Mus musculus: one gene and its partners. The protein of the gene in region 1 purifies or fractionates together with the protein of each later gene. This does not show direct contact. Links are inferred from orthologs where the notes say so. Each region holds a gene or a part of one and is shown on either strand. Other genes may lie near its edges.

Region 1 (3,500 bases):
AGCTCAGCCTGGACTAATAGCCAGGCCATCTTAACCCCGCTTTCCCCTTTCCAACACCCCCACAAAAACAAAACCTGAGACATGGTGGTGCCCACCTGTAACTTCAGTAAATTTGATATGGGGCTGAAACGTTACTGAGTTTGAGGCCCACCTGTGTATATAGGTCAGCCTCAGACTCTGAATGACTGCCAGGCACAGTGTGCCCACCTGTAATCTCAGCACTTGGGAGCCAGGCACAGGAGAATCTCTCTCTGTAAGCCTGAGGCAGACAAACCAGCCATACAGACCAGAGTTCAGCAGGTAAGGGATTTCTGCGTAAGTCATGTTAAAGTGTTGGACTGTCTAAATCTTACTGGCTTAAGTTAAGGTTATAGTTACCACTTAGATAAAGTTATTTAAGATGCAGTAGCATAAAAAATTTTCTAAATCAGTGTTCCTTAAATTTTTGTTTTGTTTTGAGATAATGTCTCAATAGGTAACAGCCCAAGCCGGCCTTGAATCCATGATCCTCTTGCCTCAAGAGCATTGGCATTGCAGGTTATGCATCATGCCCAGCTGCGGCTGTGGTTGGTTGGCTTGGCTGGTTGGTTGGTTTTTTTTTTTTTTTTTTTTTTTTAAAGATTTATTTATTTATTACATGTAAGTACATTGTAGCTGTCTTCAGACACTCCAGAAGAGGGAGTCAGATCTCATTACAGATGGTTGTGAGCCACCATGTGGTTGCTGGGATTTGAACTTCGGACCTTCGGAAGAGCAGTCGGGTGCTCTTACCCACTGAGCCATCTCACCAGCCCGGTTGGTTGGTTTTTAAGAAAGAAAATGTGTGTGTGCACATGTGTAAATCAAAGGATAGCTTTTGGGGGTCAGTTTTTGCTCTCTGCCTTGTTGAGATGCTGCCTCTTCTTGAGTACATTGCTAGCTACTAAGAAAAACGATCAATAGAGTATGTATGATGCTAGCATTATCATTTGAGTTATTTTGTTTCACCTAAGAATACTTTAGGAAGTCTTACTGCTTTTACATAATTTTGATTGCAGGCCAGATGTATTTAAAACACTCATTGTGCAGAGAATGCAGAGAAGTTGTGGTTTTGCTGACACCTGGTTATTTCTTTCTAGCTTCCAGATGGACGTATCATTAAGGTTGGAGGAGAACGATTTGAAGCACCAGAGGCTTTATTTCAGCCTCATTTGATCAATGTCGAGGGGGTTGGTGTTGCTGAACTGCTTTTTAACACAATCCAGGCAGCCGACATTGATACCAGGTACAGTAGACAGCATTTCCAAGTCATTTATAAGACACGGATAGGCCACAGAGATGGCTCAGCAGTTAAGAGCATTTGCTGTTTGTCTAGAGGACCTGAGTTCCATTCCTAGCACCCATATCAGACAGCTCACATCTCTGAGCCTGTGACTCAGCAGCACTGGCCTCTTGTGGGAGCCTGCATTTATGCACACAGCATTGCCGTGCAGATGCACAACACATCTAGACATGGTTTAAAACAATAAGAACAAAATGGTTTTAGTTTTGTTTTTGGTTTGTTTGAGTTTTAAGGCAGGGTTTCTCTGTATATAGCCCTGGCTGCCCTGGCTTGCTCTGTAGACCAGGCTGGCCTCAAACTCAGAGGTCTGTCTGTCTCTCCCTCTCTGCCTCTCTGCTTCTCTGCCAAATGCTGGGATTAAAGGTGTATGATATTTTCTCCTTAACTTGTATCTCCTTTTTGGATAGAGGTATAATCTGATGTTTTGTAAAACCAAGGATATGTTTTGTAGAGCATGGTGTGGTTAAATGGGAGGAATCCCCACTGAGGTAGCAGCCAGTATAGAATAGGGTTTATTTGGGTGCATGGGATGGGGGGTTGAGAAGGGAGTAGAGGCAGAGGAAAAAGGAAAGGAGAGAGAGAAAGAGAAGAGAAGAGGCTGGCCAGGAACATGGGGGAGGGGGTGTCAGAGAGAGAAGGGAAGCCAAACAGTCCCTTTTGTAGCAAGCCAGACCTACCTGGCTGTTGCTAGGTAACTGTTCGGCAGAGACTAGAAAGAATGCTAACAAATTCAGTTAGAGTACATGAAACACTGGGTTTGATTTACAGCACTGCACGTGTTTTAATTCTATTTCAGTTAGCTAGCTAGCTAGTTAGTTATCTGGTGTGTATGTTTTGATGGTGATGGTGGGTTCCATGGCACACTTGTGGAAAGTCAGGAGTTGGCTTTATTTCCTTCCTCCATTTGGATTCCAGGGATCAACCTGAAGTCATCAGGATTGGCAGGAGGTATCTTTCCCCACTGAACCATCTCACCAGATCTTTAAATGTAGCTAGTTAATTTTTTCTTTTTTTAAACAGGGTCTCACTGTGTAGTCCTAAGAATAGGCTGGCCTTGAATTCAGAGATCCTCCTGCCTCTGCTGGAGTTAAAGGCATGTGCCACCAAGCCCAGCTTAAGTTTTTTTTTTTTTTTTTTTTTTAATTGACAAAAGTTCTGTTTATGAGCCGGGCATGGTGGCACACGCCTTTAATCCCAGCACTCGGGAGGCAGAGGCAGGTGGATTTCTGAGTTCCGAGGCCAGCCTGGTCTACAAAGTGAGCTCCAGGACAGCCAGGGCTATACAGAGAAACCCTGTCTCCAAAAAACCAAAAAAACAAAAAAAAACAAAAAAAGTTCTGTTTATGATATATAACATGATGTCTTGAATTTTAATTGAGTATACATTACTGTACATACAACTTTTTTGATGAGCACTCTTAAAATCCCAGTGCTTTTCAGATATATTTTAGAAACAGAATCTGTGTTTGGTGATAGGCCTCCTATCTAACTGAATTTGTATAGCTTTTGATTAGCAGCTCCTCTGTTGAGTCACCAGCTCGTTGTCCTTGGTAACCATCTTACTCTCCTCTGCTACTGGATTCAGCATCAGATTCCATGTAAATAGGGCCATGCAGTATTTGCCTTTCTCTGCCTGGCTTCATCTAACATAATTTCTTCCATGTCTGTCTTCATTGCTACAAATTACAAGGTTTCTTTTTTTAAGGGAGAATTACATTCTATTGTGTATTCCAATTTCTTTTTTATTCTTTTTTTTTTTTTTTTTTTTTTGGTTTTTCGAGACAGGGTTTCTCTGTATAGCCCTGGCTGTCTTGGAACTCACTTTGTAGACCAGGCTGGCCTCGAACTCAGAAATCCACCTGCCTCTGCCTCCCAAGTGCTGGGATTAAAGGCGTGCGCCACCACGCCCGGCTCTTTTTTATTCTTTGAGATATGTATTTAGTGGTGGATTGCTGAATTGTTTGTTAGTTCCGTCTTTAGTTTTGGGGAACGTTTCTATTCTGTTATCTGTAATGGTGATCATAGTTTATGTCTGGGCTTCTTAAACTTTTCACTTATGATACCCCCTATGTTAGGGTTTCCTAGAGTAACAAAACTTACAGAATAAAATGTGTTTTTGTGTGTGTGTGTGTGTGTGTGTGTGTGTGTGTGTATTCTCTCTCTCTCTCTCTCTCACACA
Region 2 (4,148 bases), on another chromosome or scaffold:
CTGATAGCTCCCCGACACAGGGAAGCCATCGGATGGAGCACAAGCCCAGGGGCCTTCAGCACCGGGTCAGTAGGCTGAGTTTGAATGTAGCTCGCACTGGGCCACCCCACCCCCACCCCACCCCACCCCGGGAGAGGTCAGGCACTTCAATTACTCTGTTTCTAAAGCACCGGTTTGTGACATATCAAAATACTAAATGAATGTTGTGCTCTCGTAAAAAAACTGAGTCTTCCACACCCCCACTTATTTAGCTAAGAAACTAATAACATCATTTCAAACATTCTATCACATAAGCACTAGAGCGACTCCCCACACAGCTGGAGTGGATCCCAGAAATAATGTTTAAAAATGGTATTTAGCAATCCGGAATCTAATCCTAATTTATACACAGACACAAATACTGATTAGCGTGATCTGGTCGGAATAACAAATAACCATGAAAACTCTAATGCTTCTGCAGTGACATTTCTCCAGGATATTTATGTTAAATAAATTCATGACACTTAAGAGACTGGAAAGATGTGACTAAGATTAAGTTAGAAGCACTTGCTGCACTTCAAGAAAACCCACGGTCAGTACTCCACCTGGGCAGGTGGCTCACAACCCTCTGCTACTCCAGCTCCAGGGAATCTCATGTCGCTGGCCAGCAAGGGTGCACATATATGCACATAACCACCAACAACACCAACACACACACACACACACACACACACACACACCTTAAAATAATAATTTTTAAAAACCTTGTAAATTCATCAGGCTTTAATGTACTGTCCACAAGTAAAATACACATGCGCTCGCGCACATGCGCACGCACGCACACAAACACACACACACAGAGAAAACATGTTCTGATTTCTTAAAAAAGTATGTGTCTGTGTGTGTGACTGTCAACTACCAAAAGACAGAGCACTTGTAGAGCTATGATATAAAGCAATTCTGCTCTACCACATTTTTTTTCCTGTTTATATATGTTTCAGTTCTAGTTACTATTGCTGTGATGAGACACCAGGACCAAAACAGCTTGGGGAGGAAAGGGTTAATTCAGCTCACACTTCCACATCACAGTTCATCATCAAAGGAAGTCAGGACAGGAACTCTAGCGGGCGGGAACTTGGAGGCAGGAGGCTGATGCAGAGGCTGATGGAGGGGTGCTGCTTACTGTCTTGCTCCCCATGGCTTGGTCAGCCTGTTTTCTTATAGAACGCAGGACTGCAAGCCCAGGGGTGGCCCCGCCCACAATGGGCTCAGCCCTCCCACCATGAATCACCAATTAAGAAAAGGCCCCACAGGCTTTTCTATAACCTCAGTCTCACTTTTTCTCAACTGAGGCTTCCTCCTCTCTGATGACTCTGGCTTGTGTCAAGCTAGACAGAAAACCAGCCAGTACAATATGTAACCGCCGCCTAGATTCGATGTTTAATGTCAGGCTGGCTATCCAAACATCACTGCGTGTGACACACACTCCCCAAGTCTCCCTAGGTCAGTGTTCTCTAACATGTCCAGAACCAAGCACTGTGTTCAGCTGCTCTGAAGCTGCGGACAGACAGGAATATGAACTACCATTTGCCTTCACACCCGAGAAGGAGGCAGGAAGCAACTACTTGTACTTCATCATGTTCTTCCCTCTACTAGCAGGCCCTGGTGTCAGGGTGCTGCCAGACAAGGACAATAAGACGCTTTATTATATAGGGTGACTAAGAGCCTCGCAAGTACTGTTTTAGAATATAATCCCGGTAGGGAAGGCCACGGGATGGGAGTACAATTATTTCGTGCCAACCATTTCCAAAACTAAACATATTGTGGCCCTGCGAATAAGCACGCTCTGCGGTCAATTCTCTTTCAAATGCTTACAGGAAGCAATTCCGGGAGAGACGAACAACTTGCAATTTGCTTCTCACTCTGAATCCCACGACCGAAATGTGTAGAGCAAGCCGTTCTGACACCACAAAACAAGGGCAGCCTACATGAAGGCCAAATATAGGATGTGATTCTAAACCACGACGGAGAGAAAGCCTGCATTTCCTTTTCCAGCCTGCAAAAAAAAACCCTTTGAACACTCCCAAAAAAGGACGTCGGGGCCGGCACCTCCCTCCGGGAGGAAGCCCCTTTCTTCTCCGAAAGCCCTGCAGCCGGCTACTTCCCCCCAGCTCATTCACATCACTGGAGATAGATAGGGCTGCTGTGCGTACGCCCGCCGGGGGACCGGCGGCAGAGCTGGGCTGGGCGTCCCCACCCTCCACCTCTGATGTCATCCTAGCCATCTCGGCGCGGCTGAGCCCCACCTGCCCCGCGGGTCACTAGGTTCCGCACCCGGGACAGGGTTCCTCCTCCAGGCCACGCCACTGCAGCCCGCCCCCGCCCCAGGTCTTCAGGGTCCAGGAGGCCATGCACTGCGAGCCAGGCGGAGCCCCGCCCGGGCGCGCCCCGCACACCGGGGGTCCCCCGCGGACCCAGCCCCACGTGAGCGCTCGGCCGCAGGCTCTTCGCAGCGCTCAGACACCGCCTCACGGCTGCCGGGCCCACGGCTGCCCGCAGACGGCCATTCCCCAGCCGCAGCGCCCGGGGCATGCGCGTGCGCCCCGCACCACTCGGCGCCGCCGGCTCCTGTCAGCCGAGAGCTTCACACGCGGGGTCCCGGAGGCCGGCCCGCCCGCCCCGGGCTCGCTCCGGAGCTGCCCCGTCCTGAGCGCGCGCTGCTTACCAGAGCCCGGGTGCCTGAGGCGCCGCCGAAGTCCCTGCTGCAAAGCCCCGCGAAGCCTCCAACCGCTGCCGCCTCCCGCCTGGCACTGAGCGCCGCGCGGGGGAGGGGCGCGGCCGCCGCTGCCCAGGCCTTCGCGCGCGCGGGCCCCGCCCCCGCGCCGGGGCCGCGCCCAACCAGCGCCGCCGAACCACGCTTCACCACGCCCACTTCCGGAAGGTCCCGGTTAGATGCCCGGCTCTCCTTAGAGCGCCCCCTGTGGTGGCGCGGGGAGGTGCAAGGAGACTCGGAGCCCACGCCCGCTTTCCGGGGCACTTGAATGGCCGGGTGGCCACGCCCACGGGCTCCTTCCAGCCCCACCCAGGTCTTTAGAACCAGAGCGGGCGTTCTTAAGCTCCACCCACGGCCCTGCAGAGCCTCTCTATGAGGATGGTCGTTTGAGCGCATCTAACTGCCCACCGAGTCCGTGAGCAGGGCTTGGTTTCCCCCCGCCCCCAAAACCTAGCTTCCCCCAGTTGAGCGCCGCAAATCCCCGCTCGGATTTCCTGAAGACCCGGGGAACCTATGATCATCCTATTTGCTGTACCTCAAGCCCCGCCCACAGCCCTGAGCGTACTTAAACCGTAAGCCCCGCCCCAAGTTCTTAGCCCCACCTCCATCAGGGCTGGTTCAACCCTCTCACCCACGCTCTCTCCCACTACTCTCCAGGGCAGGGTGGCAACCCTTGGGCTGGACCACACCTATGAGAGAGAGCTAAGGAGAAGCAATGAAGACTCCCTGGCTAAAGTCCCTCCATATGAGCACGTGGATATGTGTCCTAGCCCTGTTACTCTCAAATGAAGTGACCCAGGGACCATTTCACTCACCTCTTTGGATTTCAGTTTCCTAATCTTGAGTGTAAGGTTATCCCACTATTAGCCAAAGCCCCTTCAGAAATATCAAGCTTTGAAATACCAAGATCTAAGGAAACTGCGTCCAGAGATCTGGGCCAGCTGAGGGGTTGGGCCATTTATTTCCCAAAGCAAGGCATCTTTACAATTCGCAGAGGGATGAATTTTCACTTTGTTTTAGCCTCAGAGATGTCCAGGAATCTGTGGTCGGCATTCAGTGGTAGAACCCCTGAATTCTTGTTGCAGGAATTAAGATAAACTGCCACCTCAAAACAGAAGGCACACGCCTTTAGTCCCAACACTGAGGAGGCTGAGGCAGGTGGATCTCCGTCAGTAGTTCCAGGCCAGCCTGGTCTACATACTGAGTTCCAGGACATCCAGGGATATGTAAAGAAACTCTGTCTCTAAATAAGTAAATAAAATAAAATTAGGCAAAGTGTGTGTGTGTGTGTGTGTGTGTGTGTGTGTGTGTGTAAATTATGTGTTGTGTAAATCTAGGTCTACCAGAATGAAGCAGCTTGCTCAGCAAGTTTTTACTCTCTGCAAAGCTCAATTTT
Region 3 (4,140 bases), on another chromosome or scaffold:
TCCAGTTTCGTTCTTTTCTAAAGGACAGAGCAGAGCGGCCCAGCTTGATAGTGTGTGCCCACAGCCTATAATCCCAACACTCAGGAGGCAGGAGGATGGCTGCAAGTGTAGGGGGCATGCTGGTGTACGTAGTGAGTTTCCGGTTAATCAAAGCTATAGAGATCCGTCTCAAATGCATCCCAACCACCACCAAAAAGGGAGTGGGAGGGAGGAGTAGAAAGAGAGACACATACAGACAGACAGACTCCAGGTTTGTTCCTAGGCTGGCCAGAACTCCTTGGTCTTAAGGTCCTCTGCTTCAGCATTCCCAGCCACTGGGACCATGGGCATGCACATTCTATGTAGATCTCTGAGAAGGCCAAAACTGTTTGTGGTGATGGCTGTACAACTCTGAATACATCGATAACCACTGAACCCTTCAATCGGGTGATCACGTGTAGGGTGAAATATCAATAAAGCTGATAGAAATCAGACGGGGACAGAGAAAGCCACTCAGCCCCACACAGCCAGCACGAAGCTCAGTCAGAGAGGACCTAGTCACAGGATGGAGGAATCCACCATCTTGAGGCCCTGAACCTGATACCTATAGCGCAGCGGAGCAAAGGTGGCTGGGTCAGGAGTTGTTATGGAAAGGGCAACCCCCACCCCATGCCTATGGAGGCCAGTGCACAGACGGAGTAGGCTAGCCTGCCCAGGACTCCATTAAGAGACAAGCTGGTAGGCAGACACGACCATGCCCAGGACAAAGACCAGGGGCACAAGGAGGTAAGGATGCTCAGGACGGTGCGGAGTTATGCCAGGTGCCTTCCCGACTAACAGGTCAAAGTCTGAAGGGCCAATTAAATTCCCTGGCATTTTACAAGGTGTTAAAGGCATAACTGTCATAAGCCCTCAATTAAAGGTCAGCTCTAGGGCCAGGGCTAAAGTTGGGTGGAGAAGCTGTCTAGCAAGGCCCAGGGTGCTCTGGAGACCTAGTACCACAATCAGTTCTTCAACCCCACCTCTGCACTCTTCTACATCTGAAGCTCCCACAAAAGCTGCTTCTCCCTCCTTCAAACTTCTGGTGACAACCTTCTCAGTCAAACAGAGAAGCAGTGTTGACTCAGGGCCTGAACTGGTGACTCACTCTGGGTGAGCCAGCAGAGGCCTGACCCCTGGTGGACGCTGGGGGAGGGGGGTGGGGGGTGGGCTGTAAGTTCTGACTGTGAGGGTCTACTGGGTGGTGAGGACTTACTGGAGCTTGGGCTACTTACTGGCAAGGCCCAGGCAGTGCAGCCAGGGCAAACCACTAGGAAGGGCTAAAGCCTCTGCTTGCTTCACTGGGCACAACAGGGAATTCCTTCTCCCTGGCCACAAGTCCCCATCCCTCACACGGACCAAGAGGAAACAAAGGAACATACCAGGCCCAAACACCTCTGCAGTGACTGGGCACACACCCAGGAGGAGGGGCGGCTGGATTCCAGGCTCCTTAGCTCCAGGAAGCAAGCTAGGCGCTTGGATTTCCATTGACCCCATTGCAAATTTCCCTCAGGTGCCCAGGCCTTTCCTCAGATGTTGGCCTCTCAGCCCAGTCCTGAGGACTAGAGACCAATGCTGGAACCCGGCTGCTCAGCCTTACCAACTTCCTACAGGTCCTTGGACCCTCATAATTCCACTGGGTTCTGGAACCCCAGGCTCCCCAGGCCCACCAGCTTCCCCCAGGCCCTCATCATTCCACTAGATTCTAGAAGCAAAGTCCCCTTACCCCCACCAGCATCTCCCAGGCCTCAGGTCTACATTCTTTTCCCAGGTTCTGGTACTCTGACTACCACAGACCCATAATTATGCACTCTGACCTAGAACACCCCAAACCGACTTAGCACTTCATCCTGGGTTCCTGCTCTGAAACCCCACCCCTTTCTTTATGTCCAAAATTCCTAGGGCCTGTGTCCTAGGGCCCGCCCCCTCAGAGCCAGACCGGCTGTGCACCCCTAGCTACTCCACAAATGACGGGATGAACGGCTCAGCATTGGTGTCCGAAACCTCCGATCCTTGCCCAATACCCGGGGCTCCGACGTCCCCATCCAGACCCTGCGACCCGGGACTTTGAGCCTCCAATCCTGGCCCTACACCCCGAATCCCGAATCCCAGCGCCACACCACAACCCCAACCCCCCGATTTCGGACCCACACCGCGAACCCTTGGCCTTGACTCTGCACCCCGGTTCCCCCTCCTAGCACTGCACTCCAACCCCCGATCCTAGCCCTGCAGCCCGGGTCCCGACGCCCGACCCCAGCCACACACCCCAAGTCACAATCCCGGCCCCACACCGCGAACACCGGGTTTTGGCCTGGAATCCTGACTCAGGGGTCCCAGCCCTACACTCCGAGGCCTCGACCAACAGATCCTGGCCCTGCACCCCTGGGCCCCGACCCTGCCCCGCACTCGGATCACCTGGGCCCAGTCCAGACCCTGTACCCCAACCTCCCGTCCAGGCCCGGCACCCTGACAACTCATCATCCCACACCCTTCCTGTCCCCCAGCAGCTCTCTAGGACGCCCATCCCCCGCTCACCGCACCAGCAGGGTCCACCAGGCTCCCGCCGCGCCCCGCCGCTCCCTGTGCCCGCTCACTTCCGGTTCCGCGGAGGCGGGGCCGCATCCGGGGCCACGCAAGATCCCGCCCTATTCCAGGCCGTCCCCGCCCCGTATTCCTGTTAGCTGATCAAGAAAGCAGGATACACAGTTCCAGGACTCATAGGCAGCTCGGCCGCCAGTCAGCTGCGGAGATCCGATTTAGAAACACCCGTCAAGCCCTGTCCAACACACATTCACCCTCAACCCAGCTTCCAACCATGTATCCACCCTGCAACTCTCTACCCACGCATGGATCTACACAGCATCATTCACTCCCCTGTCAATCTTCTACCCACCAATCCACCAATCTGTCCTTCTGCCCATCTACCCATACACCCACTCATCTAGCCATACATCTGTTCATCCATTCTTCCATCTATCTGCTTCCTATTGTGATCAAAAAACTGAACCCTGTCTCGAAAAACAAACAAAACAAAACAAAACAAAAAGAACTGATCAAATACAGCTTGGGGAGAAAACTGCTTATTTGGCTCATAAATTATAGTCCATCACTGAGGGAAGGAAGTTAGAACAGGAACTCAGGCAGGGCAGGAACTGAAACAGAGACTATGAAGGAGTGCTGCATACTGGCTTGCTCAGCCTTTCTTTCACATCCCAGGTCTACCAGTGTAAGGGTGGCAACCCACAACGGTGGGTTGGGCCCTTCTGAATCAATCAGTAACCAAGAAAATGCCCCCACAGACTAGCCTACAGGCCAGTCTGATGGCAATTCATCAACTGAGGTTTCCTCTTCCAAGATTACTCTAGTGTCAAGTTGACAAAAACTAACCAACATGTCACCTATACACCCATGTGTCAACCATCCATCTACTTATCTATCCATCCACTCATCTATCTGTCCTAGTTGACATTAACTGTCAACTTGAAACAGCCTAGAATCACATTTTTTTTTAAAAAAATCTCAAATGTGTACTTGTCTTATTTAGGTTATTCTGTGGGCATGATTGTCTTGATACAGGAGGGCCAACCCACTGTGGTCCATCCCTAGACAGGTGTCCTGGACTGTATAACAAAGCTAGCTAATAAGGCAGCGGCCAAGTGGATCACTTAGAGGCCAGTCTGGTCCTGATCAGCCAAGTGAGGGATTCTGTCTCTCCTGCCCCCCTCTCCAGAAGGAGGAGGAGGAGAAAGGAGATGAAAGAGGGAGGTTAGGGATGTAATTCAGTGGTAGAGTGCCTGTCTAGTATGTACAGGGCCCTGGTACCAACCTTAGCACCACAAGGCAGAAAACAAAAGGCTAAACTGTCAAAATTTATGAATAGATCAGGAAGGAAAAAGAGATGTCAGGTGTCAGAGGAGAATGTTCCCATGTGTGTGTGCACAATTCACATGTAAGTGTGCATTCAACTGCATGAGCACACATACAGAGGTCCAAGGACACATTCTGGCATCTTCCTCAGGAAGGCCACTCACTGCTTGAGACAGGATCTCTCTGGCCTGCAGTTCATCCACTAGGCTAAGCTGGCTGGTCAGCAGGCCCCAGAGATCCTCCTGTCTTTGCTTC
Region 4 (4,191 bases), on another chromosome or scaffold:
GAAGAAAATACCTAATTAAAAAAAAGAGTATGAGGGTTGGTGAGATGGCTCAGTGGGTAAGAGCACCCGACTGCTCTTCTAAAGGTCTGGAGTTCACATCCCAGCAACCACATGGTGGCTCACAACCATCCGTTAACGAGATCTGACTCCCTCTTCTGGAGTGTCTGAAGATAGCTACAGTGTACTTACATATAATAAATAAATAAATTTTAAAAAAGAGTATGAACTAAAACAATATAGAAAAATAATAAAAGCAGAAACATAACAATAATTATAAGCAAACAGCAGAACCACCAGTTATGTAAAAAAACAAAAAACAAAAAAAAAACAAACAAAAAACCCCCACTTCTTATATTCCAGAAGCCTCTCTCCGACTTTTTGTTGTTGAGAGATTTACAGTTATTTCATGTATATCAATGCCTGCCTAGTACTCATGGAGACCAGACAGTTGGATCCCCAGAACTGGAGTTATAGACAGTTGCTAGCTGCCATGCCAGGAACTGAATCCAGGTCCTTTGCAAAAGCACCAATCACCGAGCAATCTCTCTGGCCCCTTATATAACCACTCTCGATCATACTCTGTCTAGCAGCCATCAACACAATGTCTTTAGAGTAACTTCTTGTTTTACCAACCAGGAAAGTCTTACTGTAATTTAGTCTGCTTCATTTAAAGCTGCACTTCATGTGTTCTTTCGCCAATACTGTCAGACTAAAGTCAGGCTGCTGTATCTGATTCTAGTGCTCCCATTGCTGTAATTCTGGGTTCTTTAACGTCTGCACTACTGACACTGGGGCATACAGACCTTCGGTTAGATGGCTGTCCTGTGCACTGCAGTATAATACTCGGTCTCTACCCACTAGATGCCAAGGAGCGCCTTCACTGTGACAATCAAGTGTCTCTAGATATTGCCAAACCGCTTCCACTTGAGAGCTGATACTCTAAATCTAATTCACACTCACAACCCTACTCTTTATATGAGTACACTGAAGCTGTCTTCAGACACACCAGAAGAGGGCATCAGATTCCATTACAGATGGTTGTGAGCCACCATGTGGTTGCTGGGAATTGAACTCAGGACTTTCAGAAGAGCAGTCAGTGCTCTTAACCGCTGAACCATCTCTCCAGCCCACAACCCTACTCTTAAGACATTTCCTTTTACGAACACGAGTTTTGCTCTGGCCTACGACAAATAATGATCTTACAAGCATTCTTATACACGTTGCCAGGAGATGAGAGCACGTGCATTTTTCCGGGATAAGCACTTCTGTGTCATTCCAGGGGACATTTAAATTTGATAATGAATGGTAATGACTTTATAAACCAAAGTGGTTGTACCATAATGAAAATTCCTCTAACATAACAATCTCAAAAGACTTACATATAACTCAAAAAAGAAGTTTTCTTTTTGTGGGGTTTTTGTTGTTTTTTCAAGACAGGGTTTCTCAGTGTAGCTCTAGCTGTCCTCAAACTAGCTCTATAGACCAGGCTGGCCTTGAACTTGGAGATCTGCTTGCCTCTGTCTCCCCAGTGCTGGGATTAGAGGTGTGTGCCCATCACTCACAAACTATTAAGAGAAAGAACTATGAGGATGTTTTCCCTCCCAGCCAACTCAAGGGTCCTTCATCTTGCTATTGTCCTGCAGATCCTTCCTCCTCTAAATCATCGTCCAAACCCACCTTATGTGGAAGGAGAACACCGCAGCCCCATTCCTGCTCAATCTTCCTTTTCACTACGTTTAAACAGCAGCCTGTCAATCCTATGCCCCCAAATTGCAAGCCCAGAAGCAGCCCCAGAGCCTTGGCAGTCACTCCTTCACAGAGCAGCCAAGCACTCTCTACACACATCAACGTGCAGTAGTGATTCCCTGAAAGAACAGTAAGAGCCAAGCCTCAAAACCTCCTAAGCCCGAGAGGCGCAAAGGCTTAAAATAAGAGCAGGGGGTATAGTTCTGTTGGCAGAGTGCTTGCCTGGTAGGGACACATGCTGGGGTCAGGCCTCAGTGCTAAGAAGGGAAGGGGAAAGGGAAGGCGCAAGGAAAAGAGAACGGGACGAGGCGGAGAGGGAGATCACAATCTAGTCTCGGCTCTCATACTTGGGCAGGTGATAGGTCCTCTCTGGGGACCAGTTCTGCCATCTTCAAACGTGGGTTAGAACCAGAGGCTGGAAGTGTAGCTCAGTCGGTGGCAAGCTTGCCTCCGCACCAAGCTCTCACTTCCATCCCTAACATTTTCTAAATTGAGCCCAGTGGCGCGCGCTTGTAATGCCAGCGTTCAAGAGGTATGTGGAAGGAGGATCAAAGTCAAACAAAATCCTCCTCGGGTACATAGAGAGTTCGAAACCAGCCTGGGCTACACAAAACCTGTCTCAAAAAAGGTGGATTTTAAAATGACCTCATACGTTCATTCAGCGACAGAATGAGGTAAAAAGAATTCCATCAAGTCGAGCTGGAGGATGAAGCCGGGATCGCGTCAGGGCCTCAGAGGCTGCTGTCAATTTGGGTGGGTAGGTAATTTTGAGGGTTCCCCGTTGTCCCCAGCAACAGAACCGGAAGGACCGCTGACGTCAGCCACCAGAGGGAACCTGCGGCCGGTACTCAGGGTCACTGGGGTGACAGGACTGCAGAGTGGGCCCCTGGCCTGTCTAGGAATATCGGTCGAACACCGAGCCTGCGAGAGGCTCTTCGCGCCCACTTGCTCACCCGATTGGGGTACTCCTTCTCCACACAGTCCCCACACATCGTCACGCAGTTTTCGGAGAACGACCCCAGCGACACCCGGAAGGCGAAACCTCGCGAGAGTTGAGATATCGATTTTGTCGCACACGATCTAAGGACTCCACAGCTGGCTAAAAGTCTCCGCCCATAGCAACGGTTGTTAGGCGGTCTCCGGGTAAGGAGGGTGCACCGAGGACTGGACTCAAAAATCTTCAGGTATTGAAAAGATCTGAGGACTCAAAGAAGTGTCGAAAAGAGGAAGAGGCTTTGAGCCTGAAAGAACTTCTAATAGGCGCCTTCTTGAATTCTGATTAAAAAAGAATTACAGAAGTACAGCAAAAAGGGGAATTGTTTCTTCTTGCCTCCATTTTTACCAGACTCAAAAAACCTGAAATGACAGTTTAAATACCATTTTGTGCTATAATAACAGATAAGAGATCAGACTTCAGAGAAGGAGTAAGCTGGTGTTTGGGAAGAGAAGCTTAGAGCGCTGTCGAGAACCTACTAAATTATTTAAATTAGATTCTTATCATACGCCTTGTACAAAAATCAATTCAAAAATGGATCAAAACCCATTATCTAAAACAGGAAACACTGAAACTTCCAGAAGAAAACATAGGGGATAGTTGTCAAGATATTGGGTTGGAGGGGCTGGAGAGATGGCTTAGCCATTAGGAACACTGAATGCTCTTCCAGAGGACCCAATTTCACTTCCCAGAACTCACATGGCAGCTCACAACTGTCTGTAACTCCAAGATCTGACACCCTAACACAAACACACATGCAGGCAATGTGCATAAAATAAAAGTAAATTTTTTAAAAAAGACACTGCTTTGGACAAGAACTTTTTAATTAGCACAGGAACACTAACACTAACAGAAACTAACCCTTAGTATCAACGGACTACACGAAAAGTTTCTATTCAGCAAAGGACACAATTAGCAGAAAAAAACAGTCCTCAGCATGGGAAACATCTTTACCAGCCATATTTCAAACAAGAGGCAAATATCCAGAATTTATAAGAATTGCAGAAACTAAATACCAAGGAAACAAAACTGCCAGTCAATAAATGGGCAAATGAATTGAATAGACACTTTTCAAAATTAAAAAAAAAAACAAAACATGGCCAATAAGTGTTCATTGTCCTCAAACATCAGGGAAGTGCAAATTAAAATTATTTTTTAGATACCCTCTCACCCCTGTCGGAATGGCTCTCATCAATAAATCTGATGACAAATGCTGGGAAGGATGTGGAGAGAAAGGAACTGTTAGTCACTGTTGGTGGGAGTGCAAATTAAAATACAGACATTGTAGAATCAGTTTGGTGACTACTCAAAAAGTTAAAACTAGAATCACCATATGAACCTGTTATTCTATTCCTGGGCATTTACCCAGAACACATAGGAATATTTACACCCCTGTGTTTATTCCTGATTTATTTACTCTACCAAGAATTAAGATCAACCTAGTTGTCTGT

What was found.
Region 2: the proteins of Actr2 (region 1) and Coro1c fractionate together in Homo sapiens (co-fractionation; 3 studies listed by BioGRID and IntAct, with this or other methods). This does not show direct contact. The link is inferred for Mus musculus from reciprocal best matches to the Homo sapiens genes ACTR2 and CORO1C.
Region 3: the proteins of Actr2 (region 1) and Cttn purify together in Homo sapiens (affinity purification with mass spectrometry; 3 studies listed by BioGRID and IntAct, with this or other methods). This does not show direct contact. The link is inferred for Mus musculus from reciprocal best matches to the Homo sapiens genes ACTR2 and CTTN.
Region 4: the proteins of Actr2 (region 1) and Churc1 purify together in Homo sapiens (affinity purification with mass spectrometry; 4 studies listed by BioGRID and IntAct, with this or other methods). This does not show direct contact. The link is inferred for Mus musculus from reciprocal best matches to the Homo sapiens genes ACTR2 and CHURC1.

Annotation. Positions count from the first base shown.
Region 1 is NC_000077.6:20,074,952-20,078,451, reverse strand, and holds part of Actr2 (actin-related protein 2), read left to right. Parts: intron 1-1,118; coding exon 1,119-1,264; intron 1,265-3,500. UniProt on the Homo sapiens protein: ATP-binding component of the Arp2/3 complex, a multiprotein complex that mediates actin polymerization upon stimulation by nucleation-promoting factor (NPF).
Region 2 is NC_000071.6:113,905,907-113,910,054, forward strand, and holds the start of Coro1c (coronin-1C), read right to left. Parts: upstream 2,801-4,148; 5' UTR 2,705-2,800; intron 1-2,704. UniProt on the Homo sapiens protein: Plays a role in directed cell migration by regulating the activation and subcellular location of RAC1. Increases the presence of activated RAC1 at the leading edge of migrating cells.
Region 3 is NC_000073.6:144,468,136-144,472,275, forward strand, and holds the start of Cttn (src substrate cortactin), read right to left. Parts: upstream 2,801-4,140; 5' UTR 2,554-2,800; intron 1-2,553.
Region 4 is NC_000078.6:76,764,147-76,768,337, reverse strand, and holds the start of Churc1 (protein Churchill), read right to left. Parts: upstream 2,801-4,191; 5' UTR 2,739-2,800; coding exon 2,700-2,738; intron 1-2,699. UniProt on the Homo sapiens protein: Transcriptional activator that mediates FGF signaling during neural development. Plays a role in the regulation of cell movement.